Linked DNA regions of Caenorhabditis elegans. The protein of the gene in region 1 purifies or fractionates together with the protein of each later gene. This does not show direct contact. Each region holds a gene or a part of one and is shown on either strand. Other genes may lie near its edges.

What was found.
Region 2: the proteins of cyn-6 (region 1) and rpn-1 fractionate together in Caenorhabditis elegans (co-fractionation; one large-scale study listed by BioGRID). This does not show direct contact.
Region 3: the proteins of cyn-6 (region 1) and cex-1 fractionate together in Caenorhabditis elegans (co-fractionation; one large-scale study listed by BioGRID). This does not show direct contact.
Region 4: the proteins of cyn-6 (region 1) and nspg-12 fractionate together in Caenorhabditis elegans (co-fractionation; one large-scale study listed by BioGRID). This does not show direct contact.

Annotation. Positions count from the first base shown.
Region 1 is NC_003281.10:770,109-777,433, reverse strand, and holds cyn-6 (Peptidyl-prolyl cis-trans isomerase 6), read right to left. Parts: upstream 4,021-7,325; coding exon 3,823-4,020; intron 3,777-3,822; coding exon 3,369-3,776; 3' UTR 3,275-3,368; downstream 1-3,274. Other genes in the region: alh-11 (Aldehyde dehydrogenase domain-containing protein), read left to right, coding at 429-573, 1,212-1,472, 1,783-2,448, 2,497-2,734, 2,784-2,860, 2,911-3,041; tpst-2 (Putative protein-tyrosine sulfotransferase), read right to left, coding at 4,731-4,941, 4,997-5,205, 5,261-5,455, 5,502-5,628, 5,820-5,857; ptl-1 (Microtubule-associated protein), read right to left, coding at 6,267-6,449, 6,924-7,172. UniProt on the Caenorhabditis elegans protein: PPIases accelerate the folding of proteins. It catalyzes the cis-trans isomerization of proline imidic peptide bonds in oligopeptides.
Region 2 is NC_003282.8:6,901,833-6,911,762, reverse strand, and holds rpn-1 (26S proteasome non-ATPase regulatory subunit 2), read left to right. Parts: upstream 1-1,849; 5' UTR 1,850-1,858; coding exon 1,859-1,957; intron 1,958-2,018; coding exon 2,019-2,743; intron 2,744-2,790; coding exon 2,791-3,730; intron 3,731-3,805; coding exon 3,806-4,645; intron 4,646-4,691; coding exon 4,692-4,802; intron 4,803-4,847; coding exon 4,848-4,989; intron 4,990-5,038; coding exon 5,039-5,127; 3' UTR 5,128-5,343; downstream 5,344-9,930. Other genes in the region: ribo-1 (Dolichyl-diphosphooligosaccharide--protein glycosyltransferase subunit 1), read right to left, coding at 1-852, 916-1,080; T22D1.17 (Col_cuticle_N domain-containing protein), read right to left, coding at 5,384-5,503, 5,593-5,766; T22D1.5 (EF-hand domain-containing protein), read right to left, coding at 6,364-6,521, 6,574-7,073, 7,122-7,237, 7,287-7,491, 7,538-7,683, 7,735-7,785; T22D1.8 (SRCR domain-containing protein), read left to right, coding at 8,139-8,234, 8,280-8,391, 8,438-8,612, 8,658-8,850, 8,898-8,965.
Region 3 is NC_003280.10:5,445,901-5,453,221, reverse strand, and holds cex-1 (Calexcitin-1), read right to left. Parts: upstream 5,542-7,321; 5' UTR 5,540-5,541; coding exon 5,425-5,539; intron 5,382-5,424; coding exon 5,329-5,381; intron 5,276-5,328; coding exon 4,955-5,275; intron 4,908-4,954; coding exon 4,782-4,907; 3' UTR 4,588-4,781; downstream 1-4,587. Other genes in the region: nmr-1 (LITAF domain-containing protein), read left to right, coding at 6,618-6,749, 6,880-6,962, 7,022-7,223, 7,272-7,321.
Region 4 is NC_003284.9:5,251,741-5,259,258, reverse strand, and holds nspg-12 (DUF19 domain-containing protein), read right to left. Parts: upstream 1,961-7,518; 5' UTR 1,951-1,960; coding exon 1,917-1,950; intron 1,867-1,916; coding exon 1,750-1,866; intron 1,703-1,749; coding exon 1,615-1,702; intron 1,560-1,614; coding exon 1,470-1,559; intron 1,422-1,469; coding exon 1,357-1,421; intron 1,309-1,356; coding exon 1,191-1,308; intron 1,136-1,190; coding exon 996-1,135; intron 954-995; coding exon 946-953; 3' UTR 875-945; downstream 1-874. Other genes in the region: nspg-13 (DUF19 domain-containing protein), read right to left, coding at 2,512-2,540, 2,597-2,742, 2,791-2,908, 3,344-3,498, 3,548-3,600, 3,828-3,952, 4,014-4,065; nspg-14 (DUF19 domain-containing protein), read right to left, coding at 4,292-4,308, 4,360-4,502, 4,562-4,679, 4,731-4,822, 4,873-4,935, 5,191-5,311, 5,361-5,459, 6,094-6,136; Y34B4A.10 (aECM cysteine-cradle domain-containing protein), read right to left, coding at 6,629-6,697, 6,749-6,907, 7,043-7,163, 7,227-7,518.

The DNA.
Region 1 (7,325 bases):
AAAATTCACAATTTTTAGCCAAACTTACGGTAACCGGTTTTGACGCGTCAATTTTTTTGCTAAATGCTAGGTGCTGCGCATTTGAAGAGTACAGTAATTTAAACACAAGAATTTGCCGTGTCGAAACCGGGTACTGTATTTTTGGCTCAAAAATCTTGAAATTTCGAAAAAAAAAAATTTAATTAAAAAACTTGAAAAGATTGACAAAACTTTTTTGTTGATTTTTCGAAAAATTTAAATAAAAATAACCAAAAAAAATGACGTCACACAAAACGAGAGCAGAAAAACACGCGTGATGTCACACCATACGAAATTAAAATTCCCGCAGTTTTTGAAATTTGAAAAAAATACACGTGACCACTTACTCTCTAATCCATGTTTTATTTTCATTTCAATTCATTTTTAGTTTTTCATCCATTGAGTTGCAGTTAAAAATGCGAATCTTCCCTAATCTTATCAATCTGAACAGCCTGACGGAAACGAAGCTTCTCGAATTATCATCACACTTTGTGGCTGGAAACCATGTGGAATTCCCGTCAGATCGCAAATTTGAAGTGATTGAACCCAGGAGTGGTAAGTTAAAATTAATTTTTTTTCCAAGTTCAACTGAATACAACTGTAACTTCTGTTCAGGAAAAAAATTCAAGCAAATTTTTGAATAAGGAATGTATTTAAATCAGGCGGCGTTCGTCAAATCGGCAAATTACCAATTTGCCGGAAATTTTCAATTCCGCCAATTTGCGGATTTGCCGGAAATTTTCGAATCGATCAATTTGCCAATTTGCCGATTTGCCGGAAGTTTTCAATTCCGGCAATTCGTCGTTTTGCCGATTTGCCGGAAATGTTTAATTCCGGCAATTTGTCGTTTTGCCGTTTTGCCGGAGATGTTCAATTCCGGTAATTTGCCAATTTGCCGGAAATTTCAATTCCGGCAATTTGCTGATTTGCCGGAAATTTCAATTCCGGCAATTTGCGGATTTTCCGAAAAAATCATTTACCTCCCACCCCGGATTTAAATTATATGAATCTACAAAAAATAAAAAAAATAAAAAAACTATTTAATTTTTTTGAGTTGAAAAAGTTGTTCTCGACTTTTTTCCAAAAAAAAAAAACTGCCAGATGGAAAAAAAATGTTTTTTAAACCATCGAATCTTTCCATTTCTCAATTTTAATAACTTTTCATCTGAAAATGTTTAAAACATTTTTTTCAGGAAAACCCATGGCCACGTGGCACTATGCAACTAGAGATCAAGTCGATTTGACAGTGAAAGAAGCCAAAAAAGCACAAAAACAATGGGCAAAATCTTCATGGATGGAACGAAGCGAAATTCTGAAAAAGACTGGAGATCTTCTGAAAACTCATTGCAACGATATTGCCTACTGGGAGTGTATTAGTAATGGAAAACCAATTGCAGAAGCAAAAGCTGACGTGCTTTCTTGTGTTGACACTTTCTATTTTTATTCCGGAATTGGTAAGTGCATAATAATGTTTGGTTCTAGAAAATGACGACAACTGCAGTCATGATAAGAGATTTTCAAAAAACAATAAGCGTTCTCTAATTTTTGATTTTTTGAGTTGTTTTGTAGGTGTTCTATAGCATTTTGATATCAAAAAATTATAGAAAATTCATTTTCGAATACCCTGATTAGATATGCGCTTTCTAAATGGCTGCCTACAGTAAGATATATGTGACGTAACCCAATTCAAATTCCCGCTCATCTCCCGTTTTGGCATAATTATCAGCAACAAATGACATACAAATCCTGATCTCCAAAATCTAGCATCTGACCTTCTCGGTCAACACGTTCCACTCGATGCTTCTCGTTACGCCTATACACGCCGTCTTCCTGTTGGAGTGGTCGCCGCCATCGGTGCCTGGAACTATCCAATTCAAACATGCTCCTGGAAAACTGCACCAGCACTGGCCTGTGGAAATGCTGTCATATATAAGCCCAGCCCGCTGTCACCCGTAACTGCACTGATATTGGCTGAAATTTTGAAAAGTGCTGGACTACCGGATGGAGTGTTCAATGTTATTCAAGGTGACGCTGAAACTGCACAAGATCTCATTCATCATGATGGGGTATCAAAAGTATCATTCACTGGAAGCATCCCAACTGGAAAGAAAATCATGAAAGCCTGCGCCGATCGAAATATCAAGCCAGTAACCCTGGAACTTGGTGGAAAATCCGCATTGATCGTGTTCGACGACGCCGATATCGACTCGGCGGTGTCTTGTGCAATGATGGCTAACTTCTACAGTCAGGGACAAGTTTGTTCTAATGCTTCAAAAGTTTTGGTTCATAAAAGTGTGCTGAAGGAGTTTACGAAGAAGTTGGTAGATCACACGCAGAAGATGAAAATTGGTGACCCTTTGAAAGAGGATACTCAAGTTGGATCCCATATTTCTGCAGAGCATCGTAACAAAGTCGAAGGGTATATAAGTAGTAAGTTTAGAAATTTAAGTAGATTCTCAATAGTACACCATTATTTAGCTGCCATTGCCGAAGGAGCCACCAAGCTTTGTGGTGGAGATCGTGTGGCCGTTCATGGCCTCGAGAATGGATTCTACTTGTCTCCATGTATTTTAACAGGCATTACACCCAAAATGACAGTATATCGGGAGGAAATCTTTGGATCCGTACTTCTAATCATTCCATTTGATACCGAAGATGAAGCTATTAAAATTGCAAATGACACCGATATGGGATTAGCTGCGGGTCTAGTCACGAAGTAAGAGTACCCTATTAAAGCATGTTCAATGAAAATCTCATTATTCCAGAGACCTCTCAAGATCCTATCGAGTATCTGAGCAGTTGAATGCTGGAAACGTCTATGTCAATACCTATAATGATGTTTGTAAGTTGCTCCGAATCCCACTAGATCTAGAAAAGAACCTGTAATTTCAGCGCCACTGGTTCCATTCGGAGGAGTCGGAGAATCAGGATTCGGACGTGAAAACGGAACAGCAGTACTCGAACATTATACTCACCTGAAGTCGGTCTTTGTCAATACCGGAACGTGCCCCAACCCATTCTAATGAGTCTTCAAATGTACAAATCTTTATACTTTACTAGTTAGACGAACGGATCGAGAATAAATTATTGCTTTTAGAAGTGTATTTCAACTTCAGAATTGAAACCAATACTCCACAAAGTTATGATATAGTGTTTTTGGTATTTCGAACATTGGCAAGTCAGGTTGCTCAATTATTAATACTATTACAAGTTCCAAAACGTAGCACATCCTGACAGCGCTGTATAATCAAGTACTGAAACAAAACACGTTTATTAGAATTTTAGAAAGTAATTATAGTACATTCAACAAAAATACACATATTAATTGGAAAACCCGTAGATCATTAGGTTTAATTAACTCCTGCTCTGGCGACAGTGAATGGGTTCTCTACTGGAATATGTCCAGCGTTGGCGATGACAACATCCTCAATTGGCCGATCTCCAGCTCCTTTTGGTGTAGCCTCGATCTCACGAACTACGTCCATTCCTTCCAGGATCTTACCGAACACCACATGCTTTCCATCGAGCCATGAGGTTTTGGCGGTAGTGATGAAAAATTGAGATCCATTGGTATCTTCTCCAGCGTTGGCCATTGACAACCATCCTGGTCCGTAGTGTTGAAGCTTGAAGTTCTCATCTTCAAAGCGCTCGCCGTAGATCGATCGTCCACCGGTTCCGTCGCCACGTGTGAAGTCTCCACCTTGAATCATGAAGTTTTCGATGACACGGTGGAACTTGCTACCAACGTATCCTTCTCCCTGAAAATATTAAAGTCTACAGAATTTAATTAACAAACTGAAATACCTCAGCTCTCTGTGCCAACTCAACGAAATTCTTCACTGTCTTCGGCACGACCTCTCCGAAAAGTCCGATGACGATTTTCCCAACAGGTCTTCCTCCGATCTCCATGTCAAAGAAGACCTTGTCAGTGACACGTGGTCCACGTGCCTCGGCTGACAAAGCCAGAATGGCGAGAACGAAGAAAAGAAGAGCACGGCTCATCTGGAAACTTGTTGAGATTTTGGATGCTCATTTTCATAGTAATATAATTAGAGTAGTATATGGTAAAAGTCGGATTTGACATAAAATATGATTTTTAAAAAAACCTCAAAGTAAGAATTTAGTTTCAAAATTAATCGTTTGAAGTTAAACAAAATTCTAATAATTTAGCCTATCAAAATTTAATCATAAGATTTCTAGTTCCTGATCTTTTTTCCCCTACTTTGTACTTTAAGTACTTAAGTACTAAGTACTAAGTTATAATAAATAAATATTTTATTTATAAATATAATGCATAGTATTTAATTTAACTAACAATGTAAGCAATTTTCTAGAAATCCAACAGCATGTATTTAATTGTAAGTATATTAATTGCAAGTTTTATTTTTCAAAAAATATAGAAGAATGCATTCAAAAATCCTGTTCGAAAAGAAAAAAACGACAAAAGAAAAATCGATACAGCTGCAGGAAGCAGCCGTGTCCGGCGGAATAGTGGACATTTGTGCGTGCGCGCATTCTTTTTTATAGTGTTGCAGAGAGTGTGGAGAATTAGAAAGTTACCTTGACCTCTATCTGAAAACAATGGGAGATAATGATAATGATGTAGGTTAACAGTTGTATCTATAGATAAAAATAAAATAATAACAATCTATGATGTAGGTAACTTTGGACATCTTATTTTCTATAAAAGTTATAGGTTACAGTGCAAAACTTTAAGAATAAAAATTTTTAAATTGGTAAAAATCGTCATCCGCAAATGTGGAATAATCGGGTTTTGAAATCGACGTATCGTATCCAAGAATTCCCAAAAAAGGTGCCACGTCATCAAGTTTTCGTAGAGTTTCTTCACTAAAACAATCAAACCACGAGGTTAAGGCTTTAGTGTTTATCGAGTTTTTAACTTGTGATGCAGAGAATTCTTGACTGCAAAATTAAGAGATAGTTGAAGTTCAAAAGTTTTAATGAAGAAAGCACATACTCGTTTAAATCAACTTCGTCTCCAATTAAATCTTGATGTCTTAGCATTTGCTGGGAAAATGGCAGATCCAGGAAGTTGGTGATACGTAGGATTTCTTCCGCAGGTTTTTGAATCAGTCGTTCATAATATACTTTTATGCATTGCCCTGGCGCATTATTGCATTGAAAAGTCATTTTTCGAAGCTCCTGATTCCACTGAACAAACATTGACTAAATGTTTCAAATTATCTTTAGAAATTCAAGAGTTTCATTAGGGAGACCTTACAATTTCATCAGACGTATTATACCCAGCAACTGGTACTTTTCTTTCTATCATTGAATGAACTACGGCACGAGCATCTCGAATCATCAGAATAAACTTTGCATTCGGGTACAGTCGGCGAATAGTCGGAAGCCACAATGCGGTGTATGGATCCTTGTTGCACAGACGAGGTGCTAGTTCACTGTGCTTCGCGACTATCTGTATGAATTGCAATTAAAGATGAACACGGTGACAAGAGCACTACCTCAGTGATGAATGCTGAAACAGCGTCGTCAAATACTTCCTGAGTAATTCCTGAATTATTGACCCAATCATTCCGCCAGCCTGCTTGCCATGTAAGGAAACTTGGAAGCAGCATGGTTTCACCGCCACTGAAAGTTTGAAGTGAGCAGAAGTAATACGTTTTGTTTTTTCTGAATAAGAAGTATCATATTGTCAAGAAAAAGTCTTGACTTCAGAAAGCCTTGTTTCGACGGAGTTTAAAAGTTTTAAAGGAGAAGAAATTCAAGATCTTTTGGCCAAGCGCAGCATACATCGCATTTTTGAAATTTTCTAAATTTACCATCGAACATCCGGATGTGCATCTAGAATAGCTCTCATCAAAGTAGTCCCACTTCTCGGCACACCACCCACAAAAATCAGCTGCTCCAAATTTGAGAGGAGTCGTCTCGAGTGTCGAGCATCTTGCTCATTGAAGATTAAGCTCTCTTTTGAAAGACTTAGCTGTTCTAACTTTTCCTGAAGTTTCTTACTGAAAAATTACCATTTTCAAGTAGAACCCACGATACACTTTTAATTACCACTTTATTGAAGAGAATATCAAAAGACAGATTGTAAAGCAAAAAATGAAAATATAGATAAAAAAGCTGAAACCTTGGGATAAAATTCTTCGATTCAACATGCTCAGGGAAGTCAAATAGAAACTACGGCTGGGAACAGTTAATATATTCAAAAATTAATTCAATAGTTGCACAAATATTTGAAAGCATATTATTAAGCGCGGTATACATCAGCGATTGAATATAAAATCAGGAGAAAGAGGATAAATGGCGCCTGGAAATTTGTTGGGCAGTAGAGAATTGCTTGAAGATCTCTGTGAGACACTTTGTCGTTTTGCAAAATCCTTCTTCTTATCAATTATTGTGGCCGTCATCATTTTTGGTCGACTTACTGCCACTTCGCTGGAAATTACCTGAAATTTCGTGGGGCAAATTGTGATCCAGTGATGGATGATAAACTGTGCTGAGAAGATGAATTATTCAAATAATCAAATTTATTACAAAAAGAGGTCATCAGTTTGCTGAAAAAATACAAAACCTCTGAAGATCAGTGAGGTGTGGTAAAATTCAAGTGAAAGCGTGGTCCGATCATAACGAGCTGATGTCCAGCGTAGAATGATTCCGGCTCGAGTCCGTCGACACGTAGCGGATTTTTTCGTCGAAAATCTGAAGAAAAGCGTGATATTGTGTGTGTAGCCTAGTTTATTACGAACTTGAACATTTCCACCACCAGGCCGATGATTCATATTGTCCTTTGACCCAACCTTACTCTCGGCTTTCCAGTTCAATTTTTGACTTAATATCTGAAAATCAATAGCTGCAATATGAAAAGCCACCACGTCAAATTCAAGTTCACTCGTGTTTCAAATTCTTAATCTTCAAAATACCTGAACATTTCCACCAGCAGGCTTATGCGCTGCGTTGTCCATTGACCCAACTTTTGATTTAGCTTGCCAAGTCAACTTCTCCGAAACTATCTTCACGTCAGACTTTGCTGGCTGATAATTGGTTTTCGAGCCAACCTTTGGTGAAGCTGCCGAAAAATCTAGCTTCCTGTTTTCGATTTGAACGTTTCCGCCTCCGGCAACGTGTGTTGCGTTTTTCAAGGAGCCAACTTTGGATTGGGCGTTGTAGAGCTGAAATAACTGAATGTGTAAAAAATATCTAGGTTTTGATAATGCAACTTCTGGCGAACATCCTTATTTGGTGTTCTCCAAAAATGAGATCTACAAGACCGATTTGTTCAGCTCTTTTTTGAGCTAAACAGCGACCTTCATAAACGTCATCTG
Region 2 (9,930 bases), on another chromosome or scaffold:
GAACAACTTTGTTTTGAGAGCATACTGATTTCCTTTGCTGTACAAATACTCTTCCGATGGCAAATTGTATCCGATGACATACGACGTCTTCCATCCTCCAAAGAGTGGGAATCGTGGACGAATCTCAACGTCAACGCTGTCAGCACGGATTCGTACAGCGGATGTAGAAATGTTTCCGATCTCATCACGATAATAGATATCTTTAGCTTGAGCAGGAAGAACTGTGGTAAACTGTTGGAGTGCTGGTTGGCGACGTCCACGACGGTCCATTTGGTAATCGATTCTTGAGAATGGACCATCAAGCTCAGCTCCCTTGTGAACCAATTCAATGTACTCCTCCACAGCGATGTTTCCCCAGTGAGAAACCTCGATGAATCTTTCCACGATGGTGGCAATAACGAATGGCGAGTTATTTTCATAATGAACTTTGACTGGTTTCGTCTCAAAAGCTGGGATATTAACATATGGTCCGTAGATGACACGTTCCGTTTCTTGTTTCGATGGAGAAACTGTGGTTGCGGATAGAAGCTTGCCTCCTTGAGTGGTTCTAATAGTTGTTTTTTGGGTCACAGTTTCGTACAGGGAAGGAACGTATGCAGATGTGTGAAGAACAACAAATTGACTGTCAGATTGCTGAATCTTGGATGGGAGTGGCTCAAGTACTTGTGTGATACGAAGATTGATTCTTATGGTAACTTTGGCTCCCTTGGCAACAGGAGTTCGGAGGTCTACTTCGTAAACTGCAAGATCCTTTTCGGCTGGTTTTTCAGAAATTTTCAATTTTCCTTTGCTTCCATCGATTCCAGCAGAAATGAAAGAAAGAGTAGCAGATTCTTCTTTAGACAAAGCAATCTGAAAAATAAAGTTGAAATATAGGAAATATAGTGAATTTTCAGGAAAAATATATCTACATACCAAAACTTTCGATTGAGGTCCATTTCCAACGTTCTCAAATGAATACAATGTCGAAACCTTGACAATTTGTGACGTGGCATCGATGGTTCGGTCAACATTAGCGGCTTTCCAAGCGTCTTCAGCGAAAACCGCCCCCAGGAGAGCGATGGCAAATAGCAATCGCATCTGGAAAAATTAGATATACAATCAAAAATGCAGAAAACCCAAAAATGTCATATTAAAACGTTTCAAGAATGAAATTCGACTGATCGAGCAAGACGACATCTATTTGGAATTTAATTAATCAGCTCGTGTTAAAAAATTATCTATTATTACAATCTCAGCACAGAGTAACTTTATTTTGTCACAAAATCATTTAGCAGCAAAAATTCGCATGTACAGACTAGAAAAATGATATTTTTGTTTGGTGAAATCAGCAAAATTCATTATAAGAGCAAATTTCAAGTGTATTATATTGATTTGATGCATAAATTCTGCGAAAATCTATCTTTAAATTACAATAATTTCAGCAAAAAAAAGAGAAAGACGTGGTAAACTCGTCCACGTATTTTGAATCGGAGCCATTCGTGGCGAGACCCACCAGCCGGCATGATGACTGCGCCTTTAAACAAAGTCTGTTCAAATTATCATTTTTTCCGCGAACCGGCGCGGATTTTCAGATTTTCTAATCCAATTGTCATCGTTTTGTTGTTTTTTTATTCTTTTATTCGGATTAGATGTATTTCACTCTTAGTTTCTATTCCTTTTTTCCAAACTCTGACTCTCAAAATAGTTATTTTTCGATGTTTTCATAAAGTTGAAAAATATTCACGTTTTCGAGGGAATTAGTATTTGAATACGCTGTTATAGTTTCTTCGTGACTTAACTGTTTTGTTAATTCTATAAAATTCATTTCGAAATCTCAGCTTCTCTTTCGAATACATATATTTTGAAGGATCGAAAAATGGTGGCGACTACTCAACAGACACCAAAAGAGGCGGACAAAAAGAAAGCCGACGATAAAAAAGTTCCCGAGAAAGCTGAGCCAAAAAAAGAAGAGATGGTTAGTTTAAAGAATAACTATTGTTTAAGCCGTAATGAGACTTATAGCTTATTTATTTCAGAGCGAAGAGGATCAAAAACTCGAGGAGGATCTCAATCTTCTTGTTCAGCGTTTATCTGAACCGGACACAACACTTTACAAGCCATCACTGGAGACTATGCGGACATTGATTCGTGCTTCAACCACATCGATGACCTCTGTTCCAAAACCTCTCAAGTTTATGCGTCCGCATTACAATAAAATGAAGGAGATTTTCACATCGATCGTGGCGCCTGACGTTAAGAAACTTTGCGCAGATATCATTTCAGTGCTCGCAATGACATCAGATGAGCGAACCGACACGATCAACTATCGTATTCTTGGATCACACGAGCCGATCGGGGATTGGGGACATGAATACGTTCGTCATTTGGCGATGGAAATGTCAGAGGAGTGGAAGAAGGAAGGCACTTCGGATGCGAGAAAAGCTGAACTCCTTAAGTTGACTCAGGATATTGTCAGCCATCACATGAAACACAACGCAGAAGTTGAAGCGTGCGATTTGCTCATCGAAATTGAGCGTATTGATTTGCTGATCTCTTATGTCCAAGAAGTTGATCACCAACGTGTGTGCCTTTATCTTCTTTCATGTGCCCCATTGACTCCAGACCCGGATAACATTATTCTTATTCGCACTGCTCTCCAACTCTATTTGAAATTCAACCGGTATCTTGAAGCTGTTAGATGTGCTATCATGGTCAACGATATTCCACAGGTTCATCAAATATTTGCGAAGGCATCTGACCCGTAAGTTAAATATAACGTCTCTTACTTTCCTAAAGAAAAGTTTTCAGATTGCTTCGAAAGCAAATGGCTATCTTGCTCGGTCGCCATCAGATTTTCCTTGACTACGAGGGATCTGCAGATTCGGATGCTCTTGCCGAACTGAATTCCAATGCTCATCTCTATGAATACTTCCACTCCTTGGCTCGTGAGCTCGACATTATGGAGCCTAAAACTCCAGAAGGAATTTACAAATCTCATTTGGAACATTCCCGGCCATTCGGAAACTCTGCTCAGCCAGACTCTACTCGCATGAATCTCGCCGCTGCGTTGGTGAATGGATTCGTGAACTGTGGATTCGGAGTTGATAAAATGATGGCTGAAACAGAGGAAGCCTCCAGATGGTTCTACAAGAACAAGGAATATGGAATGCTTACTGCAGCCGCCTCACAGGGTCTTATCTGGAGATGGGATATCGATACCGGCCTGGCACAATGCGACAGATTCTTGTATATCAATGACGATTATATCAAGGCTGGAACCCTTTTGGCTATTGGTATTATTTCCTCTGGAATTCAAGATGCTTGTGACCCTGCTTCCGCACTTCTCCTTGATCATGTTCAATCTGATCGGTCAATTATGAGAGTAGGATCAATTCTTGGACTTGGACTTGCCTACGCTAATTCCAAAAGAGAAACCGTTACAAAGAATGAGGAACGCGGTGTTATTTTCGAGCTCAAGAAAGTTCTTTCTGATCAAAAGCCATCGGCTATTCCTGAAGTTAAAGGACTTGCTGGACTTTCTCTTGGCCTCATTCTTGTTGGAACTGCTGATGCGGAAGCTGCGATGGAGATGCTTCAAGCTCTAATGGATAAAAGCGAAACTGAGCTCACAGATCCAAATATGCGTTTCCTTGCATTGGGAATTGCATTGATCTTCTTGCAAACTCAGGACAAGAGTGATGTGTTTGTCGAAAGTCTCCGTTCACTTCCTGATCCATTTGGAGCGATGGTAAGTATTATTTGTTCTAGATCACCTCGAGTTTTGGCTATTCCCTTGTTCATATCATAATGAATACAATTTCAGGTTTCTACGCTCGTTGAAGTTTGTGCATACGCAGGAACTGGAAATGTTTTGAAAATCCAGAAATTGCTCCATCTCTGCTCTGAACACTACGAGACGCCAGCAGCTGAGAAGAAAACTGCCGCTTCTCGTGGACCGCGTGGACCAGCCCCAGCTGCTGCTACACCTGCTCGTCCTGCTGCGCAACCTGGAAATGTCAACGTCGCTGGCACTCCAGCCCCAACTGGAACACCCGCCGTTGCCCCAGCTGCTCCGAGACGCGACCTTCCAGGAGCCGCAAGTGCTGCTACACCAGGAGCTCCAGAGACTGCTGCCGCCGACGCTACTCCAGCACCACCTGCCAAGCCAGACTTGTCATCGCAACAGGCGGTTGCTGTACTCGGAATTGGTCTGATTGCTATGGGAGATGACATCGGATCTCAGATGGCTCTTCGCATGTTCGGACATCTCATCAGATATGGAGAACCAGTTATCCGTCGTGCTGTTCCCTTGGCGTTGTCACTTCTCTCCGTCTCAAATCCTCAATTGAACATTTTGGAAACTCTGTCCAAGTTCTCTCACGATTCTGACGCTGATACCGCTCACAATGCTATTTTCGCGATGGGACTTGTTGGAGCAGGAACAAACAATGCTCGTCTTGTTGCTATGCTCCGAAACCTGGCTTCTTATCACTACAAGGATCAAGTTTCTCTAATGCTGGTCAGAATTGCACAAGGACTTACTCATCTCGGAAAAGGAACAATGACGTTGAACCCATGGCATTCTGATAGGCAATTATTGTCTCCAAGTGCTTTGGCTTCTCTCCTTTCAATTTGCTTCTCTTTCCTCGACGCCAATAACACGGTTAGTGCAAGATTGATATTTCTACCATAATTTATTTCAAATTTAGATTCTCAACAACCGTCAGCATTACTTGCTCTACACGTTGGTGCTCGCAATGCAACCAAGAATGCTTACCACACTGGTAGAAGACGAAATGAAGCCTGGAAGCTTGAAACAGGTATAATTTTTTTAAAAGTTTCAACTCTCCAATGTGATTTTACAGTTGAACGTTTCTGTTCGTGTTGGTCAAGCCGTTGACGTTGTTGCTCAAGCCGGAAAGCCAAAGACAATCACTGGATTCCAAACTCATACTACGCCAGTCTTGCTTGCCCATGGTGAACGTGCCGAGTTGGCGAACGATGAATGTATGCCATCCTAACATTTGATAATTAATTTTTAACTAAAATATTTCAGATCTCTCTGTGACTCCACATCTTGAAGGATTGGTTATTTTGAAGAAGAATCCAGATTATCAGCCGGTTGTTGTATCAACTAAGAAGTAACCAACAAATTTATGGATCTAATTTATTTTTCTCCCCCTTTTCTCCCATCTAAATTATCCGTTTTGACCCGTTTTATTGTGCACAATCCGATTGCATTCGCTCTCTGCCCGATTTCCCGTTTTTCTGTCAATTTTCCCTCTCCCTCATCATTTTTTCTTTGAAAAAAACGTGTACACTTTAAATTTGAGTGGGACGGTATTCGAGTAAATTATTACTTTCAATCTTATCATCCTGGGTTTTATATATGTATTAATATTTATTGATCACAGGAATTTGAAGATCTTCTAGGTATCCTTATCAAAGTATCGAATATATCAGAAAATCCGTCAAGGTGGCGATTGTTCGACATTAGATTTTCAGCATCGTTCGCATACATCTGGAAATAAAATTTAGAATGTTCAAATGTGAGTTTGGAAATTTTAGTTTTTCAGTTTTTAGAAAAGTTTAATGAATTATTACACTCACCTCAAAAGTAGCCTTTTTATCCATAAAAACATCTTTCATTTCATCAATTTCATTAATAATATCACTTGTCAAATATATAACAACAAGTGTCATAATTGCCATAAAACATAAAATTCCAATAGCAGCAAAATCAGCGATGAAACGAAATTTGTATAAAAATTCGGATGTATTCATAGTTTCGAAAAAACTATAAAGTTTCAAAATTTGATGTATTAAATGGAAAAGTAATAGAAAGAAGAAGCAAATGACCAATACAATTAGACAAAGAATTGAAAACTACAGAAAACAGGTGATAAAAGATAAGAAAAAGTGAAGAGATTTAGAGATATTTGTAGAGACTAACCAGTTTGACGAACTATAGAAGTGAATTGTGTAAACTTTTAGACTTTTTGTGATTCAAAAAAAAACAGTTTGAACATTTGAAATCACAGTATTATTTAAAGGTGCAGTGTTTAGCAAAAAATTATCGTAACGAGACCCGGTCACCATATTTCCGGCACAAAAATCTAACAAATAATGTTATAAGCCCATTTCATAGTTTTTAACATTTCCCACCAATCTAATCGTTTTGAAAACCCATTAATTTTTTTCAAAAATATTCTTGCAGGTTCAGTAAAACGAGATGAGCAGGAACAATCTTATTGTTTACATGAATCCGCCTGACATTTTACAAGAATACTGAAATTTGTGAAAATTGCACATAAGATATGGGACCAGGCGATTAAATACAATAGGGAATGATTATCTGACATGATTAAACTTTAGGATTACTTAAACAGGATTTATTGGTTCGTTATTGATGTTGAACGACCCTGATGATGACGTGCTGGATTGAGCATAGTAATCGTCAAATTTGTGGTCGATCAAACGTTGCCAACGAGTCCGAACCATCCCAAATTCCTCATCATCTTGGCGTTCGGTGTTCGTTTCTGAAAGCAGTGTTATTAACATAAACAACCATTTTATCTTATTAAAACATACTCTCACAAATTTCCTGCTCAAGAAAGCGAAGAGCGCAGACAAAGCCATTGATCACTCTGAAGGCAAGTTGCGAGTTCTTTTTGAATGATTGCAGATTCCATTTGTCTGTGCCAAGGATGTCCCGAAATTGAGCGATAGCGTTTTCGAACGGCAGGGATTGCACATTGTTATTGACAAGAAACTTTGTGATGGCATCGTAGAACATCCGCAGGTCGTCCAATTGAAGGATTCCTGTAGATTGCACATCAAGGACGCGGAACCAATACTCGATCGATTGATTCTCGTCAGTCCCAATCATCGCAAATATGAGCCACGTCACTTCTTTCGTATCGAGATAGTTTCCCGTTGAACGACGCACTAGGTTACTCGAGAAGATTCGGTCGACGATTATTGTTGGAATACCGGTTTCGTAGCAGTAAATGGCGATGGCATTCGAATCAAATATCTCATCCCATTTGCCAATATGATTGAGCTCGACTGCGCAGAGTTGTCCGGTGTGCCTACAATTTTAATAATTAAATGACTAATCTGAGATTATAGCCGATTACTTCATGTACCAATCCTCGCATGCATAACGCACGTAGTCATTTAGAAGATCTTTAGTCTTAACTTGAATCGTTCCCGTCCACGTTCGCCCAGCAGTCCAGAGTATACGCTCAGTGACCTGAAATGTTATCGATACACAAAATTAAATTAGAAAAATAGAAAATTACAATGATCGAATACATTTCAGCTTCCTCCTTTGAACAGTCCGTTTCAGTCAGTTTCCGCTCGAAAATAGCTGACTGCAATTCTTCGCGTGTGATCACTTCTGAATACGACCGCACTCTTTCGAAAATTGATGAGTTAACAAACTCCAAAGCAGTGTGCATTGAGCACGAAGATGTACTGCTTTCATTTTCGAGTTTCGTCGCTTCTCTGTAACAAAAAATCATGTTTAAATAAATCTGATGATTCAACAAACATGTGCGAATCATCGACTCCAGTGATTGCTTGAGACGTCAGATTTCCGCTGGAGTCATCCGAGCAAGAGGACCACGACTGATCGCGAATCGGAGCTCTCATTCTCGTGAGTTTTGGTGATGACGTGGCAAGCGGGGAAAACAGATGCTGAAAATTTCCAAGAATGAAAAGTATATTCTCCTGAGCTGATAAACATACCGTCGGGAACTTCACATCAATAACAGACTTCATCTGAATCTGCTGGCTCATTTTCACGTGGGATGAGCGTATTTGAACACTGAAAAGCAAATGCTTAAAATGTTATAATTGATTTGAGACAAAAATTCTGGATAAAAAAGTGAAAAAGATGTAATAAAACGCAGAAAAGAACTAAAATGGACTTTCGTAAACAATTTGTCACTAAAAATAAAATTTTCGAGGCTAGCTGTAGATCGTTCCGCGCGAGACCTTCACGAGTGGCGACATGTGTCTTTGAAAACTACAAAAATCAAAAAAATAGGCCTAGAAAATACTAAAAACACGTGAAGCATTTGATAAAATATTTATTTACACCATTTTATAGAGACGTAAACACATTTCAATTCATTTCCTAACAAATAACAATGAATAAACAAACAGTTATACAAAAATATTGGTGGAATCTGATTATCGGGACAATATTTATGTTTATGATCCAAGCAAGTTCTCAAGAATTGAAGGTGAGCATTTTTCAATTTTAGCATCGAAAAAGTAGTAATTTTCAGCTCGTAGGAGATTCAGAACTAGCTATATTCCCTGAAGATGCTCAAAAAGTTTGCGAAAGTCTCAATGGAAATCTTGCAGTGTTGACGGATGAAAATAGGGAATTTTTTGAGGGTAAAACAGTTTTTAAAAATATTTCTCAATCTAGACTTTATTTTAGAGCAACTATTCAGAAACTGTACACCTCATTCAGATTTTTGTCCTAAAATGTGTGTTTTTGAAAATTCATCAGATAATCAATTAGAAGAACTCAAAATACCAAATGGTGTGATTATGACACAACCAGTTCATCTCGGAGACACATTGCACTTGAAACTGAAAATGGAAAATAAAACGTAGGAATTACATTCAAAAAATGGAAATATGTTAATAGCTTTCAGAATGGAAGTCTTCCAACTATCTAATGCAATTATCGAAGATATGGAAAAAGGATCAGAGCAACAAGTTTTTTTAGAATTATCAATTTACAATAGATACGTTGATAAAAGTAAAGCTATAAACCATACAAAAGCTCATAAAGTTAATGTTGGATATGGTGAACTTACAATAACAGAAAAATGGGAACGATCTAAAGTAAGTAGTGTGCAGTATGATTGTTTTAATTGGTCGATATTTTTTAGCATCTAGTAAAGCCGCACAGGCTTGACATAGATCAATCAGGAGATCCCACAATAGACTTGAAATTAGAGTAAGTTCGAAAATATTACTTTTCCATGTAACGTTACCAACCGTAACTTATCGTACTTCCGTCTTTTTTATCTGGTAGATTTGATATTTGGTTTTTCTATAAGATAGAGTAACACCAGTTGGGCTTTTGTATAAATACTCTCATGAAAGTATAGCTAAATGATATCTCACTAATATTTTTTTTTGAGAAACTTATTCTTAACATTGCGCCAATATATTAAAAAATTCAACTTTGTGAAAATATAACTCTTGAAATATTAAAATTCAAACAATTAAAATGTAATGCAAAAATGTGAAAACTTCGAAATTCTTACTTTTTAAACTGTAAATATGAAACGAATCAAAGGGTTTTAAAAGTTTTACTATGATTTTTGCCCATTATAGCAGCATTGTAGTGATTATAAAATCTCCTACTGAGTGTACTTTAATGCTAGGACACTATAGGGTACGGTAGTTTTCCCTTTGACATTCACCGAGTTTGTATATTTTAGGCCAATATTTTCTTAAGTTTTTAATTAGTTTCTAAAGGTTTCCAGCATCCTTCTCAACGTTTTCAAAAAAAAAACTAGCAATAAAATGTGAATATTCAATGTTCTCCACCAGGTGGAGAACATTGAATATTCACATTTTATTGTAGGGGTGGCAAGAGTGCGACCTAGGTCGCTAGGTCGCTGTTTTCATTTAGGTCGCATTGCGACCTGCGACCTAGCGACCTGCGACCTAGCGACCTGGGTCGCATTGCGACCTGAAGTACTGACATTTTGTGCACTTTCGGTTTTGATTCACTTGAGTTGTTAAAATCTGTATAACTCGAAAACTACATAAGATTGCAGAATATGTATACTAACAAATTGCTACAAATCATTTATTTTACATTGTTTTCGATTTCTTATCCATAACACACCTTGTCGAAAAAAGTTAGAACAGCCGACATCCGCCGGATTTGTTGCCGACTAAAATTGTTTC
Region 3 (7,321 bases), on another chromosome or scaffold:
AGTCCACATAAAGTGGGGTGGGAGAGGGGAGTGTTATGGTCCCAGTATGGCAGATCATGCATTTAGATAGTGTGCTAATAGTAGTCTAAGAAATTAGTTAGTTTCTCAAAAACAATTCGAAATATTTCTTTAACTTACAGAAGTTGGCAATAAAAATTGTCGCCAAAAACTAAATACCGTAAATCCTTAAGTGTAAAATTTGCATAAAGAATAATACGGCAAAAGTGCAACAGAGTTAAACGGAAAAGTAATGTGCGAAAAACTGAAACCGTATGAATTTTTTTCAGCCAAAAAAGTAAAGGAAAAGTATCTTATAAGACCTCACAAACTACGTCGATTAGCTGGAATTTCTAAACGTGGTCATTTGAATAATTTTCCAAATCTTGACATAATTTAATTTCTGGTAAAGCTGTTTGAAATACTGCATAACTTCAAAATTAGATTCATTTAAACCTCAACTTATTCACTCATATTTACCTACATTGCTTCAAATTCATCTCTCAACATATCGAGAAAAAAAAACTTACAATGTCAAACATGGCAACAAATCGTAACTTTTAGAATATAGCAACAGAAGTGAGAAAGAGGTCAAATTGTGCGTGGCTATAGAATGAAATTGAAGCCATGCAAAGTTTGAAAAAAACCAGTTCAAAACGGAAAATCGGGGGATCATAGAGAACGCCGGAAAATACATATAAGGAACCTTTAATCTTTGAAATGAAAAATATATAGAAAATGCTATGATGGTTCCAGGACCGCCGCCCATATTAAAATGAAATAATAAGAAATTTCAGTCAGGAGGCAAGCAAATGATAATAGATCAACGGTTACACTATCATCATCATTTCCTGTATTGATGCCCAGTTTTTAAAAGTGCGGAATATAACAAGAGAAAGTCCAACTGGGTAAAAAAAACCTTGATCTACTAGTCAACGAAGACTGAAACATTTACGGCAACAAAAAGTTTTAGATTTATTAGACGACATTTGTAAAAATTTATGTTACTCATTATTATCTTTACCATTCCAAAAAGTTACAGGTATACTCTTATGCATTTAACGATGTTTTCTATGGTCCGTTTTTTGTATTAAACTGGTTTTTCAATAAGTAAAAGTTTTAAGAACATTATTGCACCAAACTCTGATATGCGAAAATCTTTAGAAATTTCTGAAAAACTATAAAATTGCAAATCCCAAATTTAGCAATTTTACAGTTTTTCTGAAATTTTTTTCTGAAATATTTACGATATAGGCATTTTCTGTAATTATGTCCCGTGTTGCCTACAACAATTATTCAGAAATAAATTCATTGAAAACTGTCGAAGATCAATATTTTCAGTTGAACATTTTAATTCTTCAATCAATTTAAGTTGTGCATCTTTAAAAAATGAAGAACATTTCGCATTAGAGGAAATGAGAATAAAAAAAGCGAAGACACTTTCATCTGTTCAGAATTGAGATGCATAAATTGAGAGACATGTTTTTTAAATGGTTGTGGTCTCACTTTGAACGACAAAAGAAAACCAAATATTGTAAAGGAATAGTACAAATAAAAGGGAACAAGTGATACCAGCTGATGGATGTAGGTCAGCGACAAAAGACAGGAGACGTATAGTTTGATGATTATGGAACCAAACTCAGAATTTAATGTTGGAGACGCTATAAAAATTGAATTGAGAAATTGAAACCATATTCTTGAATATCTCTCAATTTGGAATTTGGAAGTAGCCGTAAAATCGGCTAGCTAGAACATAAAAGGACTGATTTGCAACCTTGACCATTCATGATATCATTTCAATAAAAGAAGAGATTCCAATGACCAATCTTCAAGAATCACAATAATCACAACAAAACTAAGCAAAAGTAACAACAAATTGTTCAGGTAGACAAGTAGACATTTGGACACATTTTGCGGGGATGTGATGACTGTATAATAAAAATAAGTGGACACTGAGAGAGAGAGGAGGTCAGCAGGAAAAAAGAACATCGAACTGCTTGACGAATTGAAATTAGAATGAGGTGTCAGGCAGGTGACGATTACATGGTTAATTATTAGTGTTCTTTTTCTTCTTTTTGTGGATGCCGATTAGTTGAAATAATTGCATGGAAAGTGAGAATTCAATGTGAATCTCTTTCTTATTATGTTTCAAGTGGTATCTGGATGGAAGCTTGTACTTTTATGAATCGAAAATTGCGCCCAAGGTTGATTTTGAGATTATTCAGTAAATTTTTGTGCTGATTATTCAGTTAATGTAGAACAGAGACGCGGATGAAAACTTTTTTAATTTCTAAAAAAAAAGACAAAATGTGGTTAAAAAGTTTGGAAAATAATTGTTATATACTTCTTGAGAGCTTATTCAAACGGAAACCAATCATAAATAGTCGAATAGTCATTTAGAAAAGAGAAACTAGTTGATGTAGAGAGATTCAAAAAGTAAAATATGCAAATGATCCGTTTCTTAGATTTAGTAAACATTTACCAAATGAAACAGGAATTGTCGAAACAATTTAGAAAAGGAGAAGGAAACATTTGTTTATTTTCCCCTTTAAATGGCGGTAGAGGTAAAACAGCAATACACATAGTACAAGGTTATACTACTTTCAAAAGAATTTGACATCCCGCCGAGAAAATGTGGTGATTATATGGTAAAGTTTTCAGTTGGATATTATCTTCTACAGACGGTGATTCAAAATGATCAAAAGGGCAAGTGGGTGGTAAGATTTGAAAAATTGAGATATAGAACGTGCGATTTTGGTAAAACTTTTTGAACACAAGGCATATTTTTGAACTTTGAAAAACGCAAAATTTAAATTTTGTTAATTACATATATTTTGAACAGATTATGAATATAAGCAAGGCTACATAAAATATGTATATTTTCTTTTTACAAATATTCGTACACTGTTAAATTTATAGAAAAATCATTTATATTCAGAAAAACCTATTTGAACAATTTTTAGTTGCTCAATAACCAATTTGCACAAATTTAGAAAATATAATGGGGGCTTTTAAAAATTTAAATCCTCAGCGAATATTCCTTTGCGATTTTTTCGAACGTTTTCTTTCAGATTAAAAAATCTGAAGCAGAAGTAAATGAACTACCATAGAAAATTCACCAAGGATCACATTTTTACAAAGCCTCCGCCCAATTGTAAACTTGGGAATTTTTGCTTGTTTTCTTTTTTTTTTCAAAAAAGGAATAGTTGTTTTAAAGTAATTTACTCCCCTATGCTTTCTCCAGCAATCAGTTGTTCTCCCCATACTTTACACAATTATCAACAACTTCACATAGAAAACAAAACAACAAATCAGAAATTCCCACCGGTCACAGTCACAGATTCCCCATGTTTTGTTCATCTCATTTCTGCAAGAAAGTGACATCGCTGCCACCCAATTCGACAAATTGTCCAAGTGGTCATCAGGAAGATATGACCTTCTTTTTAATGATAATTTAGACTACAAAGGGCGTCAAAAAAGATTCAATGATCAGGGGTAATTGCTGTAAAATGTAGTTTGTATGTGTGTTTACCGTAGCCTATAACTGTAAAAATTGGTTTTTTAAAAAGTATTTCTGAGATTAAAAGGCTCCCCAAGGATGCACGATTCTAGAAGAAAAGCGGTGATTCTAAAGTAAGTTCCAATTTCAAATTTCCTAAACTATCGCATTCTGAAATTCCCCTCTGTTCTTTTTTTTTCTCGTAAACACGATAAAGCCATTCCATTATCCATTAAATTCATTTTATTATCTTCTCCCAATCTCTGGATCCCTTGATCACTGATCGCCGGGATTGTCAGCTGGTGGTCCACTCTTTCCCACGCAGTGTCACAAAAATAATGGACGCACATGTGTTGTCTGTTATAAGTTTAGATCAGGTGGGAGACAGAGAGAAAATGGGTCAGTTGGGGTGGGAGGTAAGCTATTTTAGATATAGAAGAAATGTTTTTAGGTTATTTGATACCTGAAAACACACGTAGTTGTTTGTAAACAAGAAGTACCCTTGGAATTGAGCCAACTTTTTGAATAGGAGGAATTTTACAGTCATTACGAGTAAGGCTTTCGATAAATTATTTTTGAATTAAACAGATATCTTGACTCGCTTGGCATTTGGCTCCGGTTTCTTGCTCAGGCGCGGCTCAAAAAATATTTTTTGGCACGTTATCCCAGAGTTCAGCTTTTGCCCAAGTTTGGCCAACTTCTGATTCGCGTTAATAATTTCTGGGCCAAACTAGGGCGAGAAACTGGAGCCAAATGACGAGCGCCTCTATTTTTTGCGACACTTGTGCTCTATAATTTCTCAATTTATTGAATCTCAAATATGTTTTGAAACCGCAAAAATATAGTTACTGCTTCTAAGAGCAAAATACAATGGCTTCATTCAGCGGCTTTTCGTAAGCTTCCAGTTTTTACTGCCAAGTCTTTACTGAAAAGTCAGCAAAAAGAATTAAACCATTGTATGTTATGCTCTTTCCCTTCTAACAATCCAACCAACAAACAATCCCGAGTTTTCCCGAGCCACTATAAAAATTTAAAGTTTCTCGGAAACTTTTTATTTTACCCAAACATCTGGAGGATCATTCATCAAAATTACTTGTTTGTCATGATTTTATCTGAATTTTTATGCTCAAGCACATCTGGTGTCAGAGACAAATTAAAGGTTGTATGTTCAAAAATAATACTATATGTTGTAAAGCATTAGAAAAGTAGTGGAAAGTGAAGGGTTTTCAGAATATTTTAAGGGTGTGGGGGATGAACAATGTACATGGTATAGAGCAAGGAAAATTTAAAAGTCAATAATTCCGAAGAGATGATTTCCAACGTCAGATTTATTTGTTGAGTAGAACAACTGATGGAAGTATGTGTTCCAGGTCTCTGGCTTCATTTGTGGAACGTATTGACCTTTCTTGTCCTGAAATAATTCCTTTTAAATTAATCAAAAAAATATTTAAATCCCACCACTGAAAACTTATGGAAAGCTGCATCACACTCGGATTGATCAAATCCATATGTACTCATTCCATCGGTATACTCGGCAAGATCCATGACTCCATCACAGGAAACATCAAAAAGTTTGAACATAAAGTTCTGATAGTCCTTGAACCATTTTGGTTCAGTCTTCGCATCGGTCTTCTTCAAAAGTCCGATCCATTCATCAATCGAGATCAATTGATCCTTATCAGCATCAGCAATGGAGCACAGTCCTTCCCAGAGAGCAGCAAGAGATTTCTTGGCAAAGCCAGTTTGAACTGATTCAGCTCCGTAAATGTCACGGACTTTCTGGAAGGTTAAAAGAAAATAATAGAATTTAGAATTCTAAAAATAATTCTCACCTTGACAACCAAGTAAAAATCTCCCCAATCGACTTGATGAGAAGCATTTCTATCTGAAACATATAATTGAAAGTAAAAAAGAGTGGGAAAACTAACCAAAAAATAGTGAGAAAATGCGTTCCCACTTCTTGACAAGGAACGGATCAACATCGGAATGTTTCTTGATAAGATCTTCAATGGAAACTGCTGCTGTAGGCTTTGCAACAACCATTTCTGAAAGTATAAGATTTGACTGAAAATTATAAAATTATGAACTTGAGAAAGTCTAGAAATCAAGAAAAAATATCTAGAAATGAACATTCCATGGGTTGTGAAGATGCTTTTATCTCACTTTAGAATGTCTGACTCCGCCCCTCTGTGTACGAATTGAAGTGCTCTTTTGTGATGATCATAGCTCCTCCTTGCGGCGACGCCCGCACACAGCACGAGATATTACACGGAATACTTATGTGATTCATAGGAAACAAGGAAATCGAAAAAATAATAGGATTTTGAGGAGGTATTTTTAGATGAATGCTTATGATGTTATGATGAACCCAAGAAATTCTGAATAGACATATGTCAGAACGGGGTAGGAGCTCCAGTGTCGCTTTTGAAATAAAAAATCAAGTGGTATACTTCTCGTATATACCCTTCTGAACTAATAAAATAATTTATCTTTTGAAAAAGTTTGAAAAAGAAAAATGCCCAAAACTTGAATTTTAATGTTTTGTATTTTGAGCATATCGTTCAAACGTCGTGATCTGAAAGTAGAAAGATCTAAATATTCGTGACACAGTTTGGTTTGAAGGTCTTAGTGGTAATTTTTTATTACAGAAGCAACAAAAAGTTGACATATTTTCAGAATTTCCAAAAAAACGTTTAAAATTTCAATTTCTTCGATAGAGTTCTAAAAATTTTTTGGAACGGATTTTGTAATATCCGCTGATAACCGTTCAAGAACAATTTGAATTTTGAAATAATTTAATCAACTAGTATCCAGTGCTCTTTCTCACTGCTCCACCCATTTTTCAACCCATTTCCTTTACTCAATTTCGCCCGTTTTCCTTTTGCTCAAATGTGCCCACCAAATCATCTTTCTTCGTCTTCTTTTCTCTTATTCGGAAGGAGAAGAGGTGAAAGTAGAATACGTTTTTTTGTTGAAAAGAGAAGAGCACTGCCACTTTTCTCTTATTTCCATCCTTCTACTACCTCGTTTTACTTTCCATTTAAAAACCCGTTTAAAGTTCCAAAATTTCAATTATCTTGCTTCTGTTTGGAACACGACAAACTTTAGTTTTGTTACAGATATGTTCCGAATATCAGTTATATTTATTTGGATATTTTTACAATTGGGATACACAATAGACTATAAAGTATCAGTTTTAATTGTTTCTGAGCCGAATCAAGAAACTTTCAAAGAATTGAAAGTTTCCGTTACGGTAAGTTTTGAAATTTTTACTTTAAAAACTTACAAACTCGGCATTATAGAAGAAGCTCCAAACTTTTAAATTAGCATATTCATATTCACAAAATATCATATTTTCAACTTTTCTTCTTAATTTCTTTCAGGCGGCATTCGTGGAAGTTTTTGGAAGCACATCATATCACTTGGGGAATGACACTATTTCCGCAGCTTTTGTAGATGCAAAAAGGTTTTCGAAATTATTATTTGTTGAGCTTTTCCCCCGAGAAAGACATTTCTTATATTCAGTGGAGATAATCGTCTGGAATTGACTCAGGATATTGTGTGCAGCCAGATGCTCAATCACTCATTGGCTTCTGTTATATTTTCTCCATTACTGACATCATCTTCAAGATTTATTGATTTGGTTACATCATCAGCATATACACTTTCATTTTACAAACTTCCAGTTGTTGGAGTAATGGTTAGAGATGCAGAGTTTAGTAAAAAGGTGATCGTTAAATAAATTGACTAATTTTGTTTTAAAAGTTCAATTTAGAATATCTATCCCACATTTGTTCGTCCAACGGCTCCACTTTCAGATGAAGC
Region 4 (7,518 bases), on another chromosome or scaffold:
TACATAGACTACAAACTATGGACAAACGGAATAAGCGCTTTATATATAGTAAATGGTGATCGTGTTTCTAATATTCTTGTTTATTTACAGGTCTGTTGAAAACAAGTGTTTCTACTTTTTATGAGTCGTAGATGGGAAAGCCCCATAGCCATTACGGGCCATGAATGGGACCAAACAATTATTTCTACCATAGCATTACACCTTTTTAGTCACACTAGTATTTAAGGTGTAAATAGATACCCATTTAACAAGCATTCACAATTTGAAGTTTTTTTTTTGAAAATTTTACTGGAACCAGACCAAAAAATTATTTTGAAAAACCAACAAAAAAGTTATGTTCTGAAATTGTACCAAGTATTCATTTTAGCCTGCCAATGCATATATGATCAGGGGTGGGTGGCATTTATTTTCGGCAATTCTACAAAAAAAGTTGCATTATTTTTTCCCACATTTTTCATTAAAAAAATTAGTGCCGAACTACAGAATGTTGTTTGATTTACTTGAAAATAACATCGACGTTAGCTGAAACATTAATAAACGTGCTAAAAAAATTGCCTGAAAGATATCAATTGTGGAAATATAAAGCTGGAAAATTCGATTCATCATTTGGCAATTTCCAACCATTTTTGAAGCACTTTCAGCTAAAATGATTGTAATTATCGGATAAATTAAATGAGTTTTTACATTTTCACACTATTTTTTTACGAATAATGTTAGAACAACGTGGCGCAATATGTAATTTGATCTGGTTCTACGAAATTCAATAACATTTCGTATTGTACTGTTTTGTAATAAAAGTTTTATTAATTTTTTTTGGATGGGAAATTATTTCAACTTGATGGTATCTCTTTTAGATTTAGCTTTTTTGTTGAAACATACGAAATATTTTATTTCAAAATCGAAATACCACAAAATTGATAAAACATTTGCATTTCTTCCCGGCGTTCAGAATGCTGAAAAAATAAAAATTGCTCATTAATCTGTTTTGGACTTACTTGAGCATTGAAGACTGCAATCGTGCAGAACAGCTCGACCAGCTTGTCGTGCATATTCACATCCCCACCAAGAGCTCTCAGAGTTACAGGAACTGTGATCGAACAATGCATTGAAACATCCGGTATATTGCTCGAAGTACCTGCAGATTTTTTAAAAATTAATTATGTTGTAAATTTTTGATCATATTTCATTACATGCAGTGGTTCTTATAATCTGCCAACAAATTCTTGGCAAATGTGGCACGGCAATCGCTGATCTGAGTTTGTTTTGTGGAAAAAATGTTCGACATACAAACATCGTTGTTGGAGAATCCTTAAACATTTAAAATTTTTTGTTGCTCAAAAATTATTGAAAACCTACCTTCAAATCCAGCTCCGCACGCAAATCCGAATTGTTTGTACATTGACACCACTTGCACGGCATCTCTGAAAACTTGGTAAGATTAACAGAAATAATGAATTGTGCCAACTTACCCAAGTCGAAGACCTGCTTTCACGTGATAACTAATGCTGGTGCAGTCACGTCGTGCTGGTCCAAGACATTCATAGTACTTGTTAAAAGCGCTGAAATCAATTTTTTTCGATGGGCAAAAGACAATGTAAGTATGAAAAAACGAACTCGCAAACTTTGAACAAACCACTTATACCGTTGATGTACATGTTTTCAATTTCTTGACGGTGACATTCAGGCTCGAAAGCAAGAATTCCTCAAAAATTGATAGCTCATTCAATTAAATTGTTATAAAAGCTTTACCATAACAGTTTGACAAGCCTAGATCAGATTTGAGCTGTAGCCCGCAACACTGAAGTAAATCTGGAGTGCATGTACCTGTAGTTGAAGGAGCGCATGCACAAAAAGCTGTTGGTGCTACTGAACATGCTTAAAAGGTCAATCAATCTGGGGGTACATTTTGAACTTACTTGCCAACACCGCAATCAATACATTCAACAGCATGTCGTGGAACGGAAAAGCTAGGGAAATGTTTCATTTATGGGATTAAGAATTGCAGTCCTTATCAGTTGAAGTGATTATCAATAATCCTGTACGCTTAAAAGACATTGATTATTGCATTAAATGGGCTAAGCGGAAAAAGTATTTTCGGAACCTTGTATTTGAATTTGACGGTGAAATTTTAAAACGAATGAAAAAAAAACTAATTTTTTATTTCAAATATTGCATAATAAGTAAAACAATTTATAAAAGATACACAGTCAAAAAATAGTTTTTTTTCAATAATAATTTGCTTATAATCTGTTGTCCTACCAAAATGTTTAATATACCAAATGTTGAAAACGTCCCAAAAAAGCTATTGGCAATATTTATTTCAAAACCCTTTTTTCAAAACTTTTCATGAAGTTCCCCATCGCCACACCAATAGATTGTCATATACTATACCGATGGCATTTTCTCAGTAATAAAAATTTATTCTTATCACAAATGATAATACATAGTTAAGATTGAATGACAAAAAGTTAATAATTTGTTTGTATCTGACATCATTTCGTTTTATTCGACTCATCCGATGATTCCTCCGCTATATGGCACTGCAAAAAAACAAAATCAATTTTACTAGATTTCACAATTTTCAAGTTTCACTTACAAACACATCTAGCTGCACATTGAGGGAATCGAGTAAAAACATTGACTCTTGAGTATTCACAAGCCCAGAACATGGCATCGTTTGATTTTTCACCACAGTTGTTTTTGAACTGAGTTTCGAAGCAAATCAAGTACTTATTGGCTTGTCTGTAAGTTTGGTTGGCGTTTTTTAATAATACCCGATGGTCTTCTTACGTGCAAGCCTGATTTGCGTCAACGTCACTGTTCACCTCATAATCTAGTCGGCATTGTCTCAGGACATCACTTTGGCTTCTCCAAGTAGTTGACATACAGCCCTCATTAAGGAGGTATGCTGAAATGAAGAAAGTTACCTCGTTACGGTTGGAATCCATTAGTCTGTATAAGGCGCTATTTTTGTGTTAATCGATTTCTGATCTCTGAGCAAATTAGGAATTTATAGTAAATGCGCAGCCGACTTCGGTTGTGGTCAGCGATGGACCTATTTCCCATGTATATCATATTTTCCTGCGTCTCTTGAATGTTTTTTTTAAACCTAATATGTGCTAGTATTCATGCCTATTCTAATCATAACTCAGAAATTCCTCTAAGAGTCTCATAATGTGTATAAATTACCACAGCAGCAAGCCCCAGAAAGTTTGATTTCGACACTCCCCGTGTTTTCCACCTATTCTAGAAACTTCATACCATGCCAAAAAGATGTGTAATTGTGTACTCAACAAAATTCAATTCCGACATCGCGTCGGGAAATGACAATAAAAATTCATACTTTGCAATCCAGCTCCACAGACAAAGTGCATTTGGTTGAACAGTCCAACAAATTGATAAGCGTTGAATGGAGTGGCCGATACAGAAACAAAATGGACCGCAGACATGCAGTTCGCGTATTCAGAGCCCATGCAAACTTTAAACTCGCGGAAAGCTCTGGAATTATATTCAGGATTCGAGAGAGAGTATCTAGTGAAGTACTGACTTGCAAACTTTACGCATTCCACTGGGTCCTTGAGCCTGGTAGTTTGTCTCCACCTAAATTTAATCAATAATTGTGTTTTGCTCTTTTTTCTGATAATCAAAAAATCAGATTATAATACAATCATGATGACATAATTAATCCCATTGACTTAAAAGTTATCATCGACACGTTCTAAACCTCACATTTCACATTTCACTATGCACACCCTTCGTCATATCACCTTATTCAGTTATCATTTCATGGAATGGCAAGCGTGGAAACTATTGTATTAAAAACTTGCCTCCTTGCGGAAGTTTTCGGGGTCAAACCATGGCTGTGGGTCGCTGATGCTCAAAACCGCATTGAGAGCAGTTTGGCACTCAAAATAAACCGTCGAGTCACAGTTTAGACCGGCTGATTGGACTCCTGGAATAAAAAAATAAGATTAAAACAAATATTTCACAAGTTTTAATTTCAATTTACTTACCTGACAATCCAAGAATCAACGCAAGAAATGGCAAACACCGGTCTTGCCACATCTGAAAGCATAATGTGAGCACAAATATGTATTTTTAATTTTGCAAAAAAAAACACACACACACACAAAGTCAGAAGTATTCAATGCATTGAAGCATTTCAAACGAAAACAAATTTTTGAAATTAAAAAATTATGAATTAAATTACATAGATTTATTCCCAAAAATGTGAATTCAAATAAAACATTTTGACCAAAACAAAAAATGGAGATGATTAAACAAAAGACGATCAGACGCGTTCGTGGACTGAAAATAAAATAAACATTATTTAAACCCCATCCCATTCTGAAAACCTACATGTGCAGAAAATCTGAGAGCACTGTGGGAAGAGAAGATTGGTACCGGTACGCTCGTAGTTGCAACCCCAGTAGGCCATCTCTGGCTTCTTACAAGCGTTCCAGAACAGTTGGAAGTAGCAGTTGGCTGCGATCTCAACGTATCTAGAAAGTTAAGATTATTCATTATTCTTTTTGATTGGAAACAAAACTTGAAAACTTACGCGCAAGCTTGAGCTGGGTCAGCCATGGACTTCACGTTGAAGTCATTGTCGCACTGTCTCATTGCAGCTGTCTGGTTGTTAAAGACAGAAGAGCCGCAAACTTCAGAGTTGGCAAAGACTGAAAATTCAATTCTAGTATTCAGTATTACAGTATAATTGCTAATCTTACTCGAGAATCCAGCACCACAGACAAAATCAAGTTGGTTCCAGATTTTTACGTATCCATTAGCCTGATCCTGTGTGAGTGGGGCGCCGTTGTTGCTGAAGAACAGACAAAAACTGTTACAGTATATATTGAATTGAGAACTTACTTGGTTCCAGTTAGAAGACCGTATGGGTTCTGAGCACATGCGTAGAACTGTTCTTTTGGTTGGCTATAAATCAGTTGATTTGAGATGTAAAAATTAAAGGATCAAAGGGTGTTCCGTTTTTAAACTCCCACTAGGCTTTAGTTTCAAGCCACGAGCCATTAGTGGATTCCTCTAATTCCCAAGCTAGGTTGGGTGATCCTAGGGAAAGGCAGGACTTGAACTAGTGGTCTCATGATTGCTTGCGATCACCACACTACCGACTGAGATATTCCCGTCGCACATTGTGAATCTCACAACATTGCAAACTATGTCACTTACTAGCACTGCTTGTACTGCTTGAAGGCATCGCAAGTTGTAAGAAGCCCGTATGCTTGGTTATTGGCATACGACTGCTCAATGGCACTTCTCAAGTCTTGATATTTGGCAGCACCGAGAGAAGCTGAAACACCAAAACTTTTGTGCTTAATTCTATTTTTCAGTTTCATTACCATCAAATCCCAAAAGTTGATTGAACTGACTCTGACAAACATTTAGCTGGTTATTGATATCGCATGCCGTTAAACTTGGGTTTTGTGCCGCCACAACGCCTGAAACTTTTCATTGGTTTATTTTTTAAGGTCATGTCTCTCAGTTTTTTCCCAGAACTTCTAATAGGTTGAAAAATAATCGAGCCTGGAATGTTTGGTTTCTAAAAGTCGTATCCAGTGCCACCGTACATTTTCTTTTTGATAAGAAAATGCCCGCCGCTAGTTGTGACGCAACTAATACCAACAATCACATTAGATTTAGGAAATTACAGTAGTCTAATACTTGTGCAGATTTCATTTTGGGAACGTTCCCGATCTTGCAAAAGTTACTTAGTCATAATAGTATTTAGGCGTTACCGGGCAACACGTGGAATTTTTCGTTATCAAAACTGATGATAAGTAAGCAAAAGCAATCCGGTTAGTGCAAGACTTAATTCTGCCAATCTAATAACTGTGGAACGGTCTTGTTTAGTTTTGAATACTTGTAAATGATGGGGTAAAGGCAATGAGAATGCGAGAATCAGGAATTGAACGAAATTTTGAAAAAGAGAGTGCCTAGATAAATCGTTGTGAGCAATTGACATTTGAACTATGAATTTTTGAAAAATCGGTAATCAAATAAATAGTGCCTAGTTTTTACTAGAATTTCGATTAAAAGCGCTCCATGATACAGAGAATCTGTCAAGAATCTTACCAACTAGTACAAAAACAGCCAGGCAATAATTGGTAGAGCACATTTCGCGGGGAAGCAGGCGTAGTGCAAAGTCGTGTCTCCCGTTATCACTTTGCCGCTGGCACTTCTGTCTGAATCTCCACCTTTCGAGGGCCGGCTCGCTTTATGGGTTTGCCAACCATCCCCTTCTCTTCCCCACCTCTTTTTCTCCTTAACGCGTGTATGTGCACGTTTATCGTTTCGTTTATTATGATAGTCATACCCTTTTTCAAATTGCATTATCACTTTTTTTTCAGTTTTGATGGAAAATGAAAAAGGGAGCGGCTCTGAAAATGACGAAAACTCTTTTCAGTCCTAAAATGACGCCAGGAAACAAGGCGTGGCTGGTAATTACTTGTTACAGTTCCAGATTTATTAGAAAAAAAGTCATGGAATCTCATTATTTGTGGACAAGGTAGAGAATACATTTGTCAGGGAAGTTGGTGACATTTAGCAATAAAAAGATCAAAACATGGCATCAAAAGTAGAAATACACAGTTTGGGAAGATGTATGAGATCATTGGTTGGTTACAAGTATTCCTGTTTCACAGTAACTCATCAGATGCTGGATTTGCTCGCAGGTGGACTGAAAATAGAATACTTGAATGCAAAAAGACTATAAATTCGAGAGATATACCGCTGGATGGAAGCTCTGCACCAGAGGGCAATTGTTCTTGGCGAATCCGACAAGGTCTTTGATTCCAAATGATTTGGATATTTTGCCCACGTATTCGCAAACTTTGTCCAGTTGTTCTTTTGTCGGCTCTACGGCTGCAGCGGACGGTGAAGAAATTCCCTATAAAAATATGTGGCTTCGATTTTAATAGCTTCTAAAACGATAGCATTGATGATAACCCATGTTTGACAGTGATGTCGTGTTCAAACAGAAAAAAAGAGAGATGATTTGGGTAAGACGAGGCAAATGACTCACAGTGGGTTGCAATGTCGCTGATCCAAAAGAAGCTGTGTTTGGCTTAGCCAGTTCTATTTTTATTTCTCGAGGAACTGTTGCGGCTGATGCCTCTGGGGTGCCGGCAGCTTGATTGTGTTTTCTGTAATGCAATAAGGAAATAGTTTGCTTAAACATTTTGAAATCTTTTTATAAAAACACTTACTGATACCACTCAGCGTAATATTTTTCATAGTACGCTTTAATTGACTTGTCGTCGTCGATAGCAATTGATTCAGGCAGCTGTGTGAATTGGCTGATTGCATATCCAAGAGACGGTTTTGATGTTGTGACCACTACAGCTTCGTCTTCATTCCATCCACCGAGATAAGACTCGCCCACTTTGCTTGGAGCAACTGTAGTCGGCAATGTTTTAATTACAATTGCAGATTGAGCTGTTGGTGGTGTAGTTGTGACTAATGGGGTGGTGGAAATTGTTGTGGTAGTAGTGGGAGTTG